Drosophila melanogaster: one gene and its partner. Changing the gene in region 1 together with any one later gene gives a genetic interaction. Each region holds a gene or a part of one and is shown on either strand. Other genes may lie near its edges.

Region 1 (8,586 bases):
AGATTGGTCTGCGGCTTGTCGGCCATAATCATTAGTTTCTTGCCCGCCACATCTTTATCCTGCTCCACAACCACGAACATCTTACGCTTCTTGGGCTGTCCATTTGTCTCCAGAGTCTGACCTTTCGTCTCATCCGATTTTTCGGTGATCACGTACAGTTTCCTCTTCTTGGCTTGACCGTTCTCCAAGCGGTTCAGTCCATTCTGGGAATCCTCTAAGGCTGATAGTGGTAACGAGGCTTCGTAGTCGGAGTTTATGGACAGCACATCGCTGGAGGCCGAGGAGCTAATGGAGTGGGAACGCTGTGGCATGGGCATAATGCCGGTGTTGGGCTTCTTGGCCTGATGTCTATTGGGGCTCTGCAAAAAAATGCGGTTCATTAAAATACATTTATAGTGGTATATATTTATATATGCATACAAGCAGTTTTAACCATATCTTTAAAATATGAAATTTAAAGAGAAAGAACGTTGAAGGGTTCTCTGAAATTTTAAAAGTTCAGGATCTGTCGCTATTCGTTATAAAAAATTAAACTTTTACGGAATAAATAGCTTTGTACGTATTTTTTTAAGACATGCTTGTATTGTTGTTAAACTAACTCTAATAGCATGCCCGTTTTTGGAATACCATTTAATGCTCAAATACCTATACGATTTATTTCAATTGGTTAATAAACAACGAAAATTGCGTTACGGAGTCTAAAACATAATTTCTGTCTGAACTGAAATTTAGCTTGGGTCAATTACCAACCCCTATGAAAGCTGAACTTTTGTTTTCTTTTGTGCTGCCACTCACCTCAACAAGTTCAATGGTGGTGCTGCTGGCCACCGCCGACTTGACAGCACCGCTCCCAGTTCCTGCACCTCCTCCTCCTGCTAAGGCGCCTGCAATGACCGACCCTCCAGCGGCATTAATGGGTAGCACAATGCCCTTGGAGGACGAGGACTTGCGCAGCGGCGTCATCTTGATGCGGGTTTTGGCCATCTCCTGGCGTTGGCTAAAGTGTCTGGAGCAGATGCGCAGCTTTTGGAGGCCGCCGAGTTGATCCACCAGTTTATAGCTGACGCCAAAGTGACGCAGCCAATGATTGCAGCTGCACGTAAATAAGAAAAATAAGATATAACGACTACTATTACTAACCACCGAAAGCTTAGTTCAGTACGCTTCTTTTGGAGGGGGAAAAAGCTTTTCACACATTTTCCATGTTAACGCAAAATGGAAAACATACCAATTATTGGGAGAACAAGAGTCCACGAGCTAGTTGCGATCGGTTGCGCAGTTCTTTGTTTAATGATTAAACTGACAAAATGAAACTGCATTGGAGTTTCGTTCTGGTTCTTGCGACGCTTTCAAATTAGATCCGACTTTCGCTCTCCGCTCTCTTTATCGCTCTCTCTTGGAAAAGTTCTTGAAAAAGTTTTCGCTGCAATTAAGCTCTTTTTATGCTTCTTTTGCGAGTGCGAACGAGAAGCAACGCTTTCGTACGCTCCTTCTCGCTCAGCGGAAGTTTCGCGGGGAATTGTTATTGTTTGTTGTTGCTGTTGCTTTTGCTGCAGCTTCTGCTCAACTTCCCCCTATTTTTGTTGTTTCTGCCGATTTGTGGAAGATGGGGGAATGAGGCTTATTTTCTTTTTGCCTTATGCTTATGGCTAGGCGAAACAACAACAACAATTAAGGCCTTTAGGGTGGACCGAATGCGAAATTATTGTGCAGGTCAGGGACAGCAAAATCATTTGCCTACTCATACCATATTTAATCTGACTTACTAGCCAAGTTTTAAATAAATTTTAATCGCTTGAAACCATTTTCATAAGAATGGTTTATGCTTAACTTACAAAACCAACGTACAACTGTGTGAAATTAAAATTATTGTCATAATTCACTTTAAAATTTCATACTATATCTTGAAAATTTTTAAACGGAACTCAATGACTACAGTTAGATAACCAACTATTATAATTAAACTTAGCAAACGTCATTCTTATTTCGATTTTGCTTATAAAAGTGACTTTCACTTTTTTGGTCTCAAAGTACATTTAGTGATAATACCGACGAAAGGTAAAATATGAGCTTTCCTTGATAATAAATAAAGCTTAACATTCTGGGGTTTCCTCGGAAAGAGGAAGAATTCGCTTAACAGTGGTCCACTCTAAACTCCATGGCCAATGCCAAGTAACTTTGGCAGACGGAACTCTATTTTTTTTTTTTGCGCACCAACTGCAGAAACTGGAGATGAAGAAGCAGCAAAGAAACACAAAATAACTTCACTTCACGGCCAGCAGAGCAGAGCCCCACGCGCATTTGTTGCATTTACAGGAGAGCGTGAGAGCTATAAATAAATGGGAGTCGGAATCTGGGACCTATCCCCCGCCCACCCACTGCCCCGCCCACATCGGCATTATTGCATTTCTGATTGCTGCACTGCACAAGTTCTTAGCCGCCATGGCATTGAAATATTCCTATGAAAATGATGCACTTTTATGCGAACCGAGAAAAAAACAGAGAGACAGAGACAGAGAAAGAGAGGGAGGGCGAAAGTTCAATGACCTTTGACTGCGAGTATCGGTATCGGTATCAGACGAAGAAGAGGAGCACCGAGCGGGGTCCAAAGCTTTGGATTGTTATGGCTTTAATGGTATGGTGTTTAAAATATAGAATGAGCACTTGTGATTCGCAACAAAAACAAGCTTCGGTGATCGAATCGATCGGAAAGCTCTCCGTAGGCTCTAAAAACAGGTTTAATGTGGTTCTTGGCAGGAGGAACCTACATATGTATGTATGTATGTGTATAATACTCACCGATCGGTATCGTGGACTGGAAAACGACGCAGATCATTGGGCTTTACATCCTGGCAACCCATCAGACAAATCCTGGAGGAAGGTGGCAATACTGGTTCCGGCCCATTCGCGCTAGGATTTAGCGACACAGCCTGGCAAATCCGAAGAGTGGTTATCGTATTCGTCATCTATCAAATATTATTTTAAAATTGGATAAAATCACTCATTTTAATTTAAGGTTATTGCTTCTTTTATCATTTTATTAATAAGCTCTAGTTTAGAAAACCATTAAAATAAGTACATACATATATCTTATTTATTTTCTTATTTTCTTTCTTGGAATAAAAGAAAACCTAGAGTGACCCCAAGAACTTTCGCTCTGGCGAATAAAAGCTTGCTTTGCTGCACGTAGAAAAGCACCAATAAGATGCACATCCACGGAAAAGCTTTTTTGGATAACTTGTGCTTGCCTTTCAAAGCCGCGTGGTCTTACCTTTTACAAAATACTTTGAAATTAAATATAAACATATGTACCCCACATCGCCATTATTTACCTATGCTTATCTTAGGAAAACAGATACATATGTACATAATGAACTCACCTGTCACACAAAGTCTCCTTTTCTCTGACCGGCAGTTCTGAGTTTAATAACCCCACGGCAAGAACTCTAGGTGAAAGCTTTCGGTTACGGAACTTTGAATACAATTGGCGCCGGTTTAAGCGATCGCAGCTAGATACGATTAAATGAAAAGGGCATCTATCTTCTAATTAGCGGTATGCTATGCGGCTCCGATTACGATTCTGTTACGTTCTGCATTCTATACTGCGCTACGTCACTCGTGGGAGCAGACTGTCGAAAGCTCCGCCTGCGTCACGCGAAGGCACCGCGCGAAGCTCGGTTTGGAGAGCGTCTCTCCAGCTTTGTCGAGCTTTGTGCCCATGCGTGCGAGATCTTCGCCGGAAAGCTCTGACAAATTCGGAATCAGGCTGAGATTTCAATCGCGCACAGTAAAAACTACCATTGAAGGACATTAAAAAATAGGTATTTCTTTTATGATTTATTATTTTAATGAGTCATATTTAAAATAATAGTGTTTTAAAGAATAAAGTACTGCGCAATGAATATGTATCAAATCGAAGAAAATAATACTTCAACTACTACTTAATAATATGATGTCTGCGCACCTTTCAATTACGCACCTTGTAGTTGATTGTATATAATATATTAATTGTACATTGCAATACTTAAATACCACTTAACTCTAGTTTTATATGCTTTTCGAGAAATTAGCATTTAGATAGCATTTTTGCTTATCAATTATCAATTTGTAGTGTCATAAATTTGCAACATAGCTAAGCCGCCAACTTTTCCATCCCATAATTAATTAAAAGTGTTAAAAGCTTTCCATAAATAAAGATACCAACAGCTGCAGGTGTTGCTTTGGGGCGTGCGTTCAAATGATTTTTGTACATTAATTACGGCCGCACAATTCGCGATTGGCAGCCTTCATTTGGATATTTAAAAGCCAATCAATTGGCGGTTCGACGAAGTCATAAATTTCAATGGGCGCTCATCAGACGAAGGAGGCAAGCCCCTCGAAAAAAAACAGGGGCGTCGAGCCGCAGATAAGCATCCACTTGTCACATCACTCATATTTCCAAGACGTCAATTTGCATTGTCTGTGGAAATTGCAGCCTGCAGCTTGCAGCTTCTTGCTGTCACATGCCAATTGACCCATTCGCCTGTTATGGCCAGGCCAGCCTCAATTTCTCAAGTGCTAAAGCAAATAAAACTTTAATGGCTAGTTTTACACTAGCCAAATTGTCAATTGTCGTGGCCAGTTGATTGCGTTTTACGACCGACAAACAGCAGCATAATTACGGATGGACCTGCACTGTTTTTTCCCAAGAACAATTGTGAAAACACAAACTACTGAGTGGGCCGCATTCGAAAACGCGCTCAGTCAGCATTTTAATTTCTGTCTGATTGAGCCGAATGACTCGAGCTGGCGATGAATGTAGAAGTAGAAGTGTTTGCAGGCGATGCCAGACGGCGATAATTCCCAAGGGGGCCAGGCTTGATCATCGCCTGTGTGGTCTCGCTGTATCTGTCGGTCTGCCCGACAGCCGGGGGCAATCGTTAACTGGCAGCCGATTATGTGATTGGAATATTGACAATTAGGCGGTTACAAATTGATTTACTTGTAATTTTTCTGGCGCCCCTGAGAGGGAAGCTGGCTCGTTAAAGCAATCTAATGTATGCTCCAAACAAATGGTGATCATTGTGAGGGGCAAAAAAAGTTTTAGTTGGAAAAATTAATCGTTTTGCTGAATGAAATTGGACAAAAAATCTTTGTCAGAAGTGGGATTCGAACCCACGCCTACAGAGTAGACTGCGACCTGAACGCAGCGCCTTAGACCACTCGGCCATCCTGACTCTCAAGAGCCGTAAGATCAAATTTTCTTTTGGTTGGGGACCACATACTGAAACGGTTCATTCTCAAAACTGAAAAGAAGTGTGTGTTTAGCACAAGTAAAAATAGTTTAATTGGTATTAGAAAAAAATTGTGGAAAATAGAATAAAAGAGTATTGTCAGAAGTGGGATTCGAACCCACGCCTACAGAGTAGACTGCGACCTGAACGCAGCGCCTTAGACCACTCGGCCATCCTGACTGTTAAACTAACGAGTGCCAATTTCCAGTTTGGTCAAGAGAGAGTATATTCTTGATTTAATAATTGTAAAATACTTTGGATTTTAGAAATTTTTATTTTTGTAGCTCAAAAAATAAAACGAAAAAATGGCAAAAAGTTCTTGTCAGAAGTGGGATTCGAACCCACGCCTACAGAGTAGACTGCGACCTGAACGCAGCGCCTTAGACCACTCGGCCATCCTGACATTTGTTGTTCGGGTGTCAGAAGGCCAATCCGATTCGCTGGCATTGTACTGCGGCAACATTAAGTATACGCCGTGTATTACGAATGTTTGAAAATCACACTTAACACTTTGAACTTGCTGCCCACACTCGAATGCACTCCCGATGAATTATTATAATCGGCACCCCTGAGGCAAAGACAAATTGCCGTTCGTCGCGGCATGGAAAGGTGTGTACGGACAGACAAGACACGAAATCAACATGCAGGCGATGGAAATGATAATAAAAAGCAGGCGAAATCGGGTCAACGTCATACATCACACTGTGCAGATTGGCAAGTGTCACTTTTTTTATATATTTCGATTTGTTGCCCAACAAATGACAGGCAACAAAATGGCGATATTCATCGCAAAGGTTGCTTAGGGGGAGCTGACGATCGAAACGGGAGTAATTAAGTTGTAGTTTTTCGGTTAGCCAAACTGGCAAAATGTCAACTAGCCCAAAGTGCGGACCGCTTGACATTTCACACGCAGCTGCTGTTGCTGTTACTGTTTTTGTTTATGTTGTTGCTATTTGTTTGTATATTTTTTATATATGCAGCATTTACTGGTCGCACGCACTTTCAATGCATTTCAATTAGTTGTAGCCGCAGCACAGCCGCTCCACTTTGACTTTGAGTGGCCGTACTGGACTGGATATTTTCCATTTTTACAGACTGATGGCAGACACTTGATAGGCCTGAGCGTATGTTAATCGGCCAACTCGACCTGACAGCCCAAGTTAATTAAAGTTTTCGCTCCCAACAGCCACCCAGCGTACATAATTCCCATTAATTTGCTAGTTAGCAACGCAGCCACTGCAAAGACCACCTCAATTGCAGTCGACTCATTATGATTAATGATCGGCATGTACAAGAATTGTTTGAGGACCGCGGTGACCCACAAAAGGCGACACATTTTCCAAGCGTGGCCAACTAGAAATAGAATTAGCAAATTGCCCGAATGTCAATCAAGCGTCATCAATCAAAATTTGTGCTACTGTCAACTCGATCACAATACAAATATAAATAAGCGCAGCCCAGCGGGCTGCAACAGTTGGGTGCAGCTGAAATATTTAACTGGAGGTTGTAAATTACCATAACAATTCTGAATTCGGTATTCTGGGGAGCTATGTATGTGGGTCAACCAGAGGAAAATCCCCTCCCGGCCAAAACCCCATGATATGTCAGCAGAGTTGTTAGCACAGCCGCACAAAGGTTAAACTGAGGCATTGAATGGTTTTCCAGCTTCGAACTGATGCTAATGGAGTTTGGATTAAGTTAACACCCGATTACCTTGGGCCGTCTTTCCATAAGTTCTTTAGAGCAAATCATTTAATGAAGATATTGTCTAATTTCCGAAGATTTAATCTGCTTTAGCATCAGGCGTTTGGGGGCTGGGAAAAGTGTTTAATTCACGGTGATACCAAGTGACAAATGGCTATTCCACTACAGTGGACAGCCAAACGACACGCGTTTATGGCCGCTTTGATTTATTGGGTTCTTTAATATAATTGCATTCATATTTAAATGGGGTTTTGAGCTGAGAAACAAACTAATCTGAATAGTTCAGTTTTATGGAAAATAATCGTTAAGGTTGTCGCTTTCAAAAACTAAATGATTTATAAATCAATTATTATAAATAAATTATGAACAAAACTAAAATGATGTATAAAGTTTAGAATTTGCCCATTCCACATTTCAATTAATATCCGAATCCATATGAAAATCTCCCCATAATATTTCAATTAGAGTTCTATTGATACAACTCCGTCGTGGCAATGCTCCTTTTCAAGTTCAAAGTCAAAAACAGCCAAAAAATAAATACGTATTTAAATTGAAGGAGGGGTCTAAACAAACCGAAGACTCTGTGGAGCATTAATCAATTGTGGCTCACTCTTCTTTTTGCCCTGGCTATTTTGTCGCTATACTTTTCTGCCAAATTTGAGCAAAGCTAATTAACAGGTTTCATTGTCTCGACTTTGGCGGCTCTGGCGAATACCATATTTTTGTATTTTTCCCATTCTGTTGCTCAGTGTTTTTACGATCGCAATAAAACAAATTATTGTGGGGGCGTGTTTGTTGTGGGAGGGGAAAAAATACGAATTTGCATATGTATATGTATATGTATGTATATGTATATGTATGTATGTAGAATGGGGTGGAGAGTTGCAGGGGGTGAAGTCCAAAGAAAGCACCTGCAAACAAGTTGTAGAAAAAAGCCAGTTCCAACTGCTTGTCTTAAACACACTTAATTAAAGATGCAACTTGTGGTTCTTAAACATTTAAGTTCCAACAATAACCCACGCAGCCATGGCGGCAGTCATTAAATGGCAATTCACTTAAGGGCACTATTTAAATCTTAAAGTACTGTCGATTTATTTATTATTTAATTTACTTAATTTACGTATTCAAGTTCTCATTAACGCATTAAAAAATCAAGATATTGAAGAATTTTTTAAATTTATCTCTTTCCAAAAAATGTTTACATATTAATGCGATTATCCTTATCATTTTTAGTTTTCTTATTAATTTTCCACGTTTTGCATTGCACGTGCAGCGGTTTCAGAGAATCAGAGAAAAAGAGACGGAGAACAGATAGAACTCTCCCACGCATAAAAAATTAAGAAATTAAAGCAAATAACAAACACAAACAAATTATTTCTCTCTCTTTGTTTCTCTGAGAGCACTTCTGCGATCAGTGCTGCCAATTTTGTCTCAAATAATATCTGTTTTAAGTTACGCTAATTTTGTGGTACATTTTTTTCATATTTTACTTTATGTTTTGTTTATGCGCTTGCATCCAGCTTATTGATCTCGGGTGCCACCATTAACCCTGTACTGAAAAACTTTATTGTTATGTTATTGAAGTTTTCCAATTTACCTAGGTTAATAT
Region 2 (8,586 bases), 9.7 Mb from region 1:
ATGGGTTTCCGAGTCCGATAAGCTTGCATCAGTGCACTGCAGTGGAGTATATTTGGAGCCTGGCTTAGCATACTTATTGGGGCATTTTGCGGTGATGCATTTGCGCCAGTGGCACTCACACACGAACACACGCCTGCAGCCATTTGCATCTGCGTGGATGTATTAAACATGAGGCAAATGAAAAGCGGAAGTGCCAACCAGGCGGCGAGCGATTTTCGCGGTCTCTTGCGCCGATGGCAGAAGTCAGTGCGGAAAATGAAGGAAAACTCAGGCCACCGCACCACACCGCCATGCCACGCCATTTGCGGTTGCATTTTGTACCCCTTCCGCATTTATTACTCATGCAAAGAATCCACCAAGGAGCGTATTTTGGTCGCCAAGGGAGAGGGGATGGGGTTGGGGGATTTTGGGGGCGGGATCTCCGGCGACTGTTTGAAATTCATGACTTGTTTAGTGCACATGCCGCATAATGTTGCATACATTTGGAGCGGTTGGCGGCAGTGCCGCGGGCTTATTGCAGCTGGCACTATTTGCTGTTTTTGCTGCTGTTATTACCGCTTCTGTTGCTGGTGTTGTTGGTATTGTTTCGAAATGAGGAGCACCGCACAAATATGCAAGCAAGCCAGGATGTATGTGAGAAGGTGCGTCACAAAACTATATGGTGTGCTAACAAAAGTTCAATGAGCCTCTCATATTTCACAAACTGACAGTAGGAACATTGTTATAAGCCAATAACTGACAGCAAAACATTAAATAATATACATACGTAGAACATAGAGAAAAGGTGTATAGAATATAAGTTTAGCTGCACTAATTTGGCAAATGCCTGGCTTAGCTGTTATTTCGCGCACCTTCTGCAGTCATGCACACTTAAGCCAACATAAGTACTACTGTATTTGGATAATATTTATGCATTTTCACATAAATGTCAGGCATGTGTGTGCGTAAGATGTGCATTCATGGCTTCGACTTGTTCTGCATGCTAATTGCCTTTGACGTTAAATGAAAGAGATAGAGGAGCAAACAAAGAAAGAGAGGGAGCACATCTGTCTACAGCACTCATAAATTGCTCGCCTGCTTTTGATTATGTGCGAAAATGGTTCATAGTGCGCCTTGATAAACCAATTTCGAATTTTAATTAACTATTAAGCTACCGATCGATTCTATTTTATAACGAAATATGTTAGGAAATATTTTATTCTATTTATTTTTTTGCGTATGTATGTATTGGAAAAATTCTATGTTTTCTATTTGCCTGCGGCTAAAACGAAACGATAATTTCTGTGAGAAGCCAGTTTAAACTTTGCGATCCAAATCATTTTCCAGTTGCGCACAAAAATATGCAGCTGAACAAAAATTAAACCTTGATTTGGAAATTATTCCTTCGCAACCAAATGTTTGCTTCGAAATTGAAGCAAGTTAGCGAATCGTGTTGCATAATTTACTGCAGGCACTGTGCGTTTTGCAATCGTGTACTGCCACTATTTACCGCCACAATTTCCCAATCCCATCCTGGGCTAATGGCTCTCTGCATATTTCATCACATTAAGTGCCAAAACAACGCATAATCAACTTCCGTGAACCCCTTGCCCTATTGTAGGTCTATTTCAGTGAGGTTAAGGAGCACTCTCCGTGTAACTGAATTAAATTCCGTTTCCAATGCTGCACCATCTAACAAACTACCGCAAAATGTTGCAAGCTGGAAATTCACCCCATTATCAACGCAACTGGGCTGGTTAAGTTCCCATCGAATATCCCGTTTTTCCCACACCCACTCGCCAATCATCGAGTGCACTAATTATACAGCTAAACAATTTTGTATAGCGGTGGTCTTTTGTTTATTTGACTAAACGTATTTTGTATCAGCTTTGCGCAAAGACCCGATTGCCACAAATTGGTGGCATAAACATATACTATCTCGGTTACCGCAAAAATCACAGATTAATCAGAGTTAAGTAAAGAACTTTATGATCTTAGTGAAACTTCGCAGTGCTAATTAAGTGAGCTCATATGTTACACTTGAAAATATTACAAGGCATTCTAAAGCGAATGTTTTGTAATTTAAAAGAAAATATTATTCATTCTTCAAATATTTGCGCATTACTAACATAAATGAACTGGGCTGCTTATTTTTTTTTTTTTGTTTGTGTTAATATGAGCTTCTTAAATTCACACATCCCTTGATTCCGCTATTTAATTGATCGATGATTGTATAAAATTCGTATACAAAAAATATAAATATAAGTTCGAACGGAACAATTAATCAATGTGAATAAAAAAACGCGCTGATTGAAGTGCAGTCAGTACTGATGACTACCTTTCACTTGGTTTTAAGTTCTTCAAAAATAATTAGTCATAAAGTGCATGCAATAGCTATAATTATATTATAGACACGGCGGATGGGTGTTTCTAAGCCCTCGAGATTAGCACATGCCATAAATTCATTTAAGTCCACATAATCCATTCCTCACAAACACACCCGGCCATAACCGTAAAGCCATTCATACATTAGCTCAGACAGTGCTCATGATCTGAATCAGCTTTACTCGGAAATTCTGGCCCAAAGCAATTGCCCTGTGAAATTTGCGTGGGATGCAGTTATGAATTTATTTATGACTCTCGTTCTCCGGATGCCTGTGCTCGTGTTTACCTCTCCTTTGTCCTCCTTAGTTTTGTAATCCTTTTGGAATTTTATTTGCTTTCCATATACACATTTAAACATTTGCACATCCATGACCAAAAATAGCAGAGCCAAAAATATATCTCTACTATCTGGGCAATGTGCAACACATTCGTTGGGAGAACATTAATTTAAACCTAAGCCAAATCACAGAAATTTTATTATAAACACAGTAACAGTTTGCACTGCAGTCATTCTAAAGGGATTCATGAATGCACGGGGTGTGTTAAAATTCGCTAACGAAATCATGTCTCACAAATATTCGAATATTTATACTCTAATTGTATTCAACGTGGAAAACGGCTTGTATTGAAGAGATACCCATTTCCTAAGCACTTACCTATTTAAATTAATGTTGCTACTCAAATTTTAAAACTGCTTTTGTTTGTACTTTTCGGAATTCAGATAACTAATTTTTATACTTCTTCATGACAAAATATCACTAAAATTTTATAGATCATTGCTATCTGCGCGGGCAGGTTTGTGTTCTTTTCCATAATTTTTTGTGAGTATTGCTGCAAGATGGGTGGTCCAAACTTTTTATTTATTTTTCCCATCTCTGGAGCAAATGCGTTTTGTTTATAAAACAAAAAAAAAGTTGCATATATAAGTACATTACCATTTGCGAACATTGTCTGATTGAATAATTGATTTTTTTGAATGGAATTTGAAAAAAGTGTGAGGAAAATATGTATGTACCTTAAGAATGTGTTCGTTTATCATAAAACAAATAAATAATTAACATATTATTAAATACTATTTCATAGGTAATACATATGCACATATACAGAAATATCCGCTAATTTTGTTAAGGAATTTAAGATTTCTGGTTAATTAAACAAGTATTATACATTATTCTGAACTTGTAGCTTTAAGGAAACCCCAGCAATTTGATAAGCTAATGTTCTATATTAATTATAAATAAATATCCTTATTATAAGTGCTAGCTTTTCCTAATAATAATTTGTATAAAACCCATTTTTATGTATGCATATGTTTGATTGTATATATATGTGGAGAACATCAAATACGACCCTCGTTTTCTTGTTTTCAGGCCGGTCTCTTGGTTTTAAAAAGAGAACCGGAGCGAGAACTTTATCTTTATATTGTGTGATATTGCTGCCTTCTCATTAATTCTAACCCACTGATAAAACATGAAGAAAGAAAACCAAGGGCTGATTGTGCAGCGAGCGATTGATTGAAGTCCGCCGTCGACGTCGGCGCTCCGACGAGGGATCATAGAGGGAGGTTCTCCGGTTCGAGTTCTGGATCGTTGGAATCAGTCGTTGGGAGGCACTTTTGGCGTGAAGATCGCGGCGAGGAAGTGCTCGGAATCTGAAATTTTAAGTCATATTGTGTGGTCTACGCTTGTGGTAAAGTTTCGTTTGATTATGTACATGGTGTTGAAATCAAATACAAATATTGTATAATTAAAGATAGCCAAGAAATTTAGATTTTCAAAAAACACTAGATAAATACAGCTGAAACTCAATTGATGATTATGCGCCATAAATATTTTTGAATGCAAACAATAAGCAAGACAAAGGGCATAAAAAACAAGGGAGTAAAAGTCACATAATTGATTCATTTATGCAAACTCTGCGAAATTAATCTATGAATATTCACCACGTTAAGCCATTTAAAAACAACAAAAACTCCAACCGATTGGCCATTTAACATTTTGTTTATTTGATTTAATCACTTTGTTATGCTTGCTTATTTGTTGTAAAATCAGCCTGCTGAATGAAAATCACTAGATATTAAAAAAAAAGAGCGTGCAGCGATGTCTTTGTGTTTTTGAGAACCACCAGCTGATTACTTATTTTTAACTCAGCTTTCTTTTATGTCCAAATTTTAGTTCTCTTTAGTTGTGTCTCTTAAAAAATTGAATGTGTCGGAGAGTGTGTTATCACACGTGATATATGTACGTACGTATTCACAATATTGTGCTCAACGAACCAAAGACATTTTTCTTTTTGTGGTCTTTTACGGCTTTCTTTAAACCATTTTTAGTCATTTATATTTTTTAAATCTCTTTTGTTAACTAACATTTGTTACTAACACTCCACACTAATGAAAAAACTTTTTTTTGTGTTATAATATACAATTAGTTTATGTGAAGCTTACGTAGTAATTAGTAAATGTGTTTATTTTTTTCCAGTGAGGTTTGTTTTTCGGCTATGCCGCCGATGATTTTGGCAAAATGTTTACCGCTAAGGCGCATTATTTATTACTGTTTTTAATCGTTTTCAGTGTTATTTAATTACGCAACATTGTATAACAATGCATTTGATCCATAAATAGCAAACATTAAATTATTTATGCAGAGTCTGACGAATCCCGTACCATAAAGATTATACGTGTATAGATTGCTCATTTCCAAGTCATTCATAAGTCTGATTAATTGCTTAACAATTTTCCCTTATCGGTCAGAAGTTGTGATCCAATCTGAAGTAGTTTGAACCGAATGGAAGTGAATGGTTTTATAATATTCACTTCCTTGCCCTGACCGATAAATTTCTAGATTAATAGGGGACTTTTTTGAAACTTTATTGTAGTGACTTCTGTTGGTATTAAGAATGGTTCAGTTGCAAAAAATAATAAATCACTCATATTTTGGCTCTGTTGATACGAAACGCACTACATTCATTAAAAATATTGTGTCCCGAGCAAAATGAAGTCCAGTGAGACGCATAAATGCATTTTTCCGATTGAAAATCCGTTTAAATTTACCGATGAGTGGGCGTTGTTGTGGCTGAATAGGAATGGACTTTAATTCTTTCATCAAAGAGATTAGTTTCAAAGCGATTGATATGCGCATCAAAGGCGGAATCCTGTAAATAGAAAATTTTTATTCAATACTGAAATCGAATTTTGATGTAAATGAGGTACGATTTAATTACGTTGTCTGACTAATGAATGAAAAGTAGTGTATGCATTTTATAAACACAAAATATAATAGTACTCACTCTTTCGAAACTGGTACGATACTCGGTCTCGGCTTTCAGAAAGGCAGCCACACTTCTATTGACTTCCGACTTAATTTTCGGACTAAAATGAGAATCAATTTCCTCACTGATTGTTGTCCGTGGACGCCTTGACCTGCGCTCTTTTGATTGATTTCTCAAATCTCTATTTCCCTCCTCACTTCGATTCTTTTCTTTGCGTATCTCTTTGCGCTCGTGGTCGATGCGCAACTTGATTGCTTCTATCATGGTGACAGGATCCACCGGATATGGTTTCTCCGGAATGGGTCCTGCAAAAGCAATCTCCCTGGAGTACTCGTTGAAATTCTCACTTCCATCGAGACTGGCTTGTATAACGCCAGGACAATAGGGATCATTTACAAAGGTTTCGTGATATTCGTTCTGAATGCGCTCAACCAAACGATCCTCAGCTTTTAGAGAGATTTAATAATAATAAATTATAATTAATTAAATTAATTTAATTATACACAACCTACGTGTTTGAACGGGCACTCGCATTGAACGTCCTCGCAAGGAAGAATTTCGCTTAGTTTTCTCCAGCGAAGTTGGCTATCAAAACAAGGATTACTTCACATGGCTACCACGTAAATTATGAACTTACAGTCGAGCACGACCTCCCTGACATTACTTGAGACATTTCCAAAAGTCTTTGATTTCCGGAGGCAGACGTGTTTGCACAACAGGCATAGTTTTGACTATCTTTCATACTTCTGTCACAGGCAGTAGAGCCACGACTACAGCAACTATATTGACTTTCGGGGGGATCCGAGTAATATTTTGTATTCTTACTCATAGATTGCTCACAATTGGATATCTGATTCATAGAGACATCTTGGCAAATATCTTGCGACTGCTTATATTGTGCATTAATAAAGAAAGGGGTTTAAAATTATGATTTTGATCTATTGTTTTTCATGAGGCTTTTAAACACCACATTCAAAAACCCCAACTTTTGAATAAAGTTCGCAACTGCTGGCATAATTAAACTTACGTTTCTGAGACTCTGGTTCGCCTGTGGTTTACATCTAGCGTTTCGCAAAGTCTCTGGTGGCTGAAGATAACTTGTTTCATTAGTTTTGGTTTCGTACTGGATTTTAAAGAGAAATGAACAAATTTGTAACAATGTTATATTAGAATACTGATATTAAATATCATGAATTTGGCAACATTGGATATGGTAACATACCTTCGTTTGATTACGCACCATTTCTGGTGTTTGATCGCACTCAAGAATTGATCGTGACGCCTTTTTGAAAGTATACAAAAATATTTAAAATTAGTAAATACAAATAATTTTTTTACATACACTTTGTTGCTGGCGAGAGTTGCATTTCTGACAAATTGAGTTTGGTTGCAGGCGGGATTGCTGGTGACGATCATCTTGATTTATTCTCGTGCTATTGAGATCAGGTGCCTGTTTGAAGTGTTTAAAAATTGCATAGACTTAGAGATTTCGGATTTCGATAACTTACAAATTCAATGGGATCTTCATCTTCCAACCAAGATAAATTCGCTTGATTCTGCTGTCTAGCTTGCTGTTGCTGATATTGCTGCTGTTGAATTTTTTGCAACAGCAATTGGCGTCTTTGAAACTCGCCATAGTTCATGCCAACTTGAGAGCTATTATTCCAATCGATTGAGGTGTTATTTCTGCAGCCAGTAGCCGTATCATGATTACTGCTCTGATCGGTGGGACAACGGTTTCCGCTCGGTACTTTTAACTCGCACTTTCGGTATAAGTATTTAAATAGCAATTTACGAATAAATTTATTTACTTTTAAACATACCGGTGTTTGCGGTTTGATCCTTTTGTCCGAGTGCTGAAATTTCATAATTTTCACAATGGCTTAAGTCTTTTAGTTTAGTCACTTACGTTGTGGGTGGAATTATGATGACTAGTCTTATTATTTCTGTAATTTTGCCTGGGGAAGCTATGGGATCGGGAATGTTGAGATACGTTGACTAGAGGTTGAAAGCGAGGTAAAGAATTTTTCGGAATCTGAAGGGGTATGCTATTATTCGGGCACTCCGGCATGTTGCAACATTGCTAAAATTTAAATATTCGCGTAACAAGAGTTTTGAATTACGAAATCATACGCACATATTCATCGTCCTTGTTATAAGAGGGCGGGAGCTATAATTTAACATTTAAAAAATTTTAATTTTAAATTTCGAAAGCATATGTTTTTTTTTTATGAATCATTACCACATCCTGTGTCACCGACGAATGTTTCTGTCTGCTGCCATCGAGGGTATGTTGGTATAGGGGTTCTTGAAATGGTTCAACAGGGTTGCGTGGCATTGAGAACCTACTAACGGTAGGACAGGGATCGAAGCTGTCGTCGTCGCTAATGGGATCCGTTCCTTGAGAGAACCTCTGGCAGGGATTTCGGGTTGAACTTGCTTCGTTCAGATCCTTCTGGTTTCCCAAAAACCGATTGAATGCCAAATACAGCTCATCGGGCAGCAGAACAGAATTCCTAACAATCCATCCATCCATTCATAAACATACACGCTTTTTAGATTATAATCTGTTAATTATCAGACGAAGACTCCGATACTTACAAACAATCTAAAAAATCGGAGTACAGTTTTGATGATTTAAAATCAATTCGATGACCAAAAATATGTGTGTAACTGTTGGTATATTTATAATAACTTCATTTGGTTCCAGAAGTGTTGCAAAATAGTATTTGCAATAACTTTTTAAATTCTGAATTTACATGGTATGTACGGTTACAAAAGTTTGTTTTGGAAATTTGTTGAAAATTGTTGATAAGGAAGGGTGATGCTTGACTACGATTTGAAGTGTTTCCTAAAGCATATACTTTTGCTTTCCTTGTTTTTTCAACTGTCACAAGTAAATATCAACAAAATGCCAGTTAAAATGTCTTACTTTGCTCTAATTTAAAAACATAT

What was found. Genes that interact genetically often act in the same process or in processes that back each other up.
Region 2: of bip1 (region 1) and Adgf-A, changing one suppresses a phenotype caused by changing the other (phenotypic suppression), as found in Drosophila melanogaster (one study listed by BioGRID).

What each region holds. Positions count from the first base shown.
Region 1 is NT_037436.4:8,055,081-8,063,666, forward strand, and holds the start of bip1 (bip1), read right to left. Parts: upstream 3,634-8,586; 5' UTR 3,381-3,633; intron 3,014-3,380; exon of another isoform or gene 2,967-3,013; coding exon 2,800-2,966; exon of another isoform or gene 2,421-2,799; intron 1,296-2,420; exon of another isoform or gene 1,229-1,295; intron 1,129-1,228; exon of another isoform or gene 1,094-1,128; coding exon 796-1,093; exon of another isoform or gene 721-795; intron 360-720; coding exon 1-359.
Region 2 is NT_037436.4:17,759,529-17,768,114, reverse strand, and holds the start of Adgf-A (adenosine deaminase-related growth factor A), read left to right. Parts: upstream 1-3,956; 5' UTR 3,957-4,053; intron 4,054-5,210; exon of another isoform or gene 5,211-5,409; coding exon of another isoform or gene 5,410-5,514; intron 5,515-5,649; coding exon of another isoform or gene 5,650-6,077; intron 6,078-6,143; coding exon of another isoform or gene 6,144-6,216; intron 6,217-6,268; coding exon of another isoform or gene 6,269-6,520; intron 6,521-6,658; coding exon of another isoform or gene 6,659-6,754; intron 6,755-6,853; coding exon of another isoform or gene 6,854-6,913; intron 6,914-6,973; coding exon of another isoform or gene 6,974-7,081; intron 7,082-7,139; coding exon of another isoform or gene 7,140-7,394; intron 7,395-7,454; coding exon of another isoform or gene 7,455-7,487; intron 7,488-7,540; coding exon of another isoform or gene 7,541-7,714; intron 7,715-7,768; coding exon of another isoform or gene 7,769-7,801; intron 7,802-7,873; coding exon of another isoform or gene 7,874-7,969; exon of another isoform or gene 7,970-8,147; intron 8,148-8,232; exon of another isoform or gene 8,233-8,418; intron 8,419-8,561; exon of another isoform or gene 8,562-8,586. Other genes in the region: CG32181 (uncharacterized protein), read right to left, coding at 5,410-5,514, 5,650-6,077, 6,144-6,216, 6,269-6,520, 6,659-6,754, 6,854-6,913, 6,974-7,081, 7,140-7,394 and 4 more.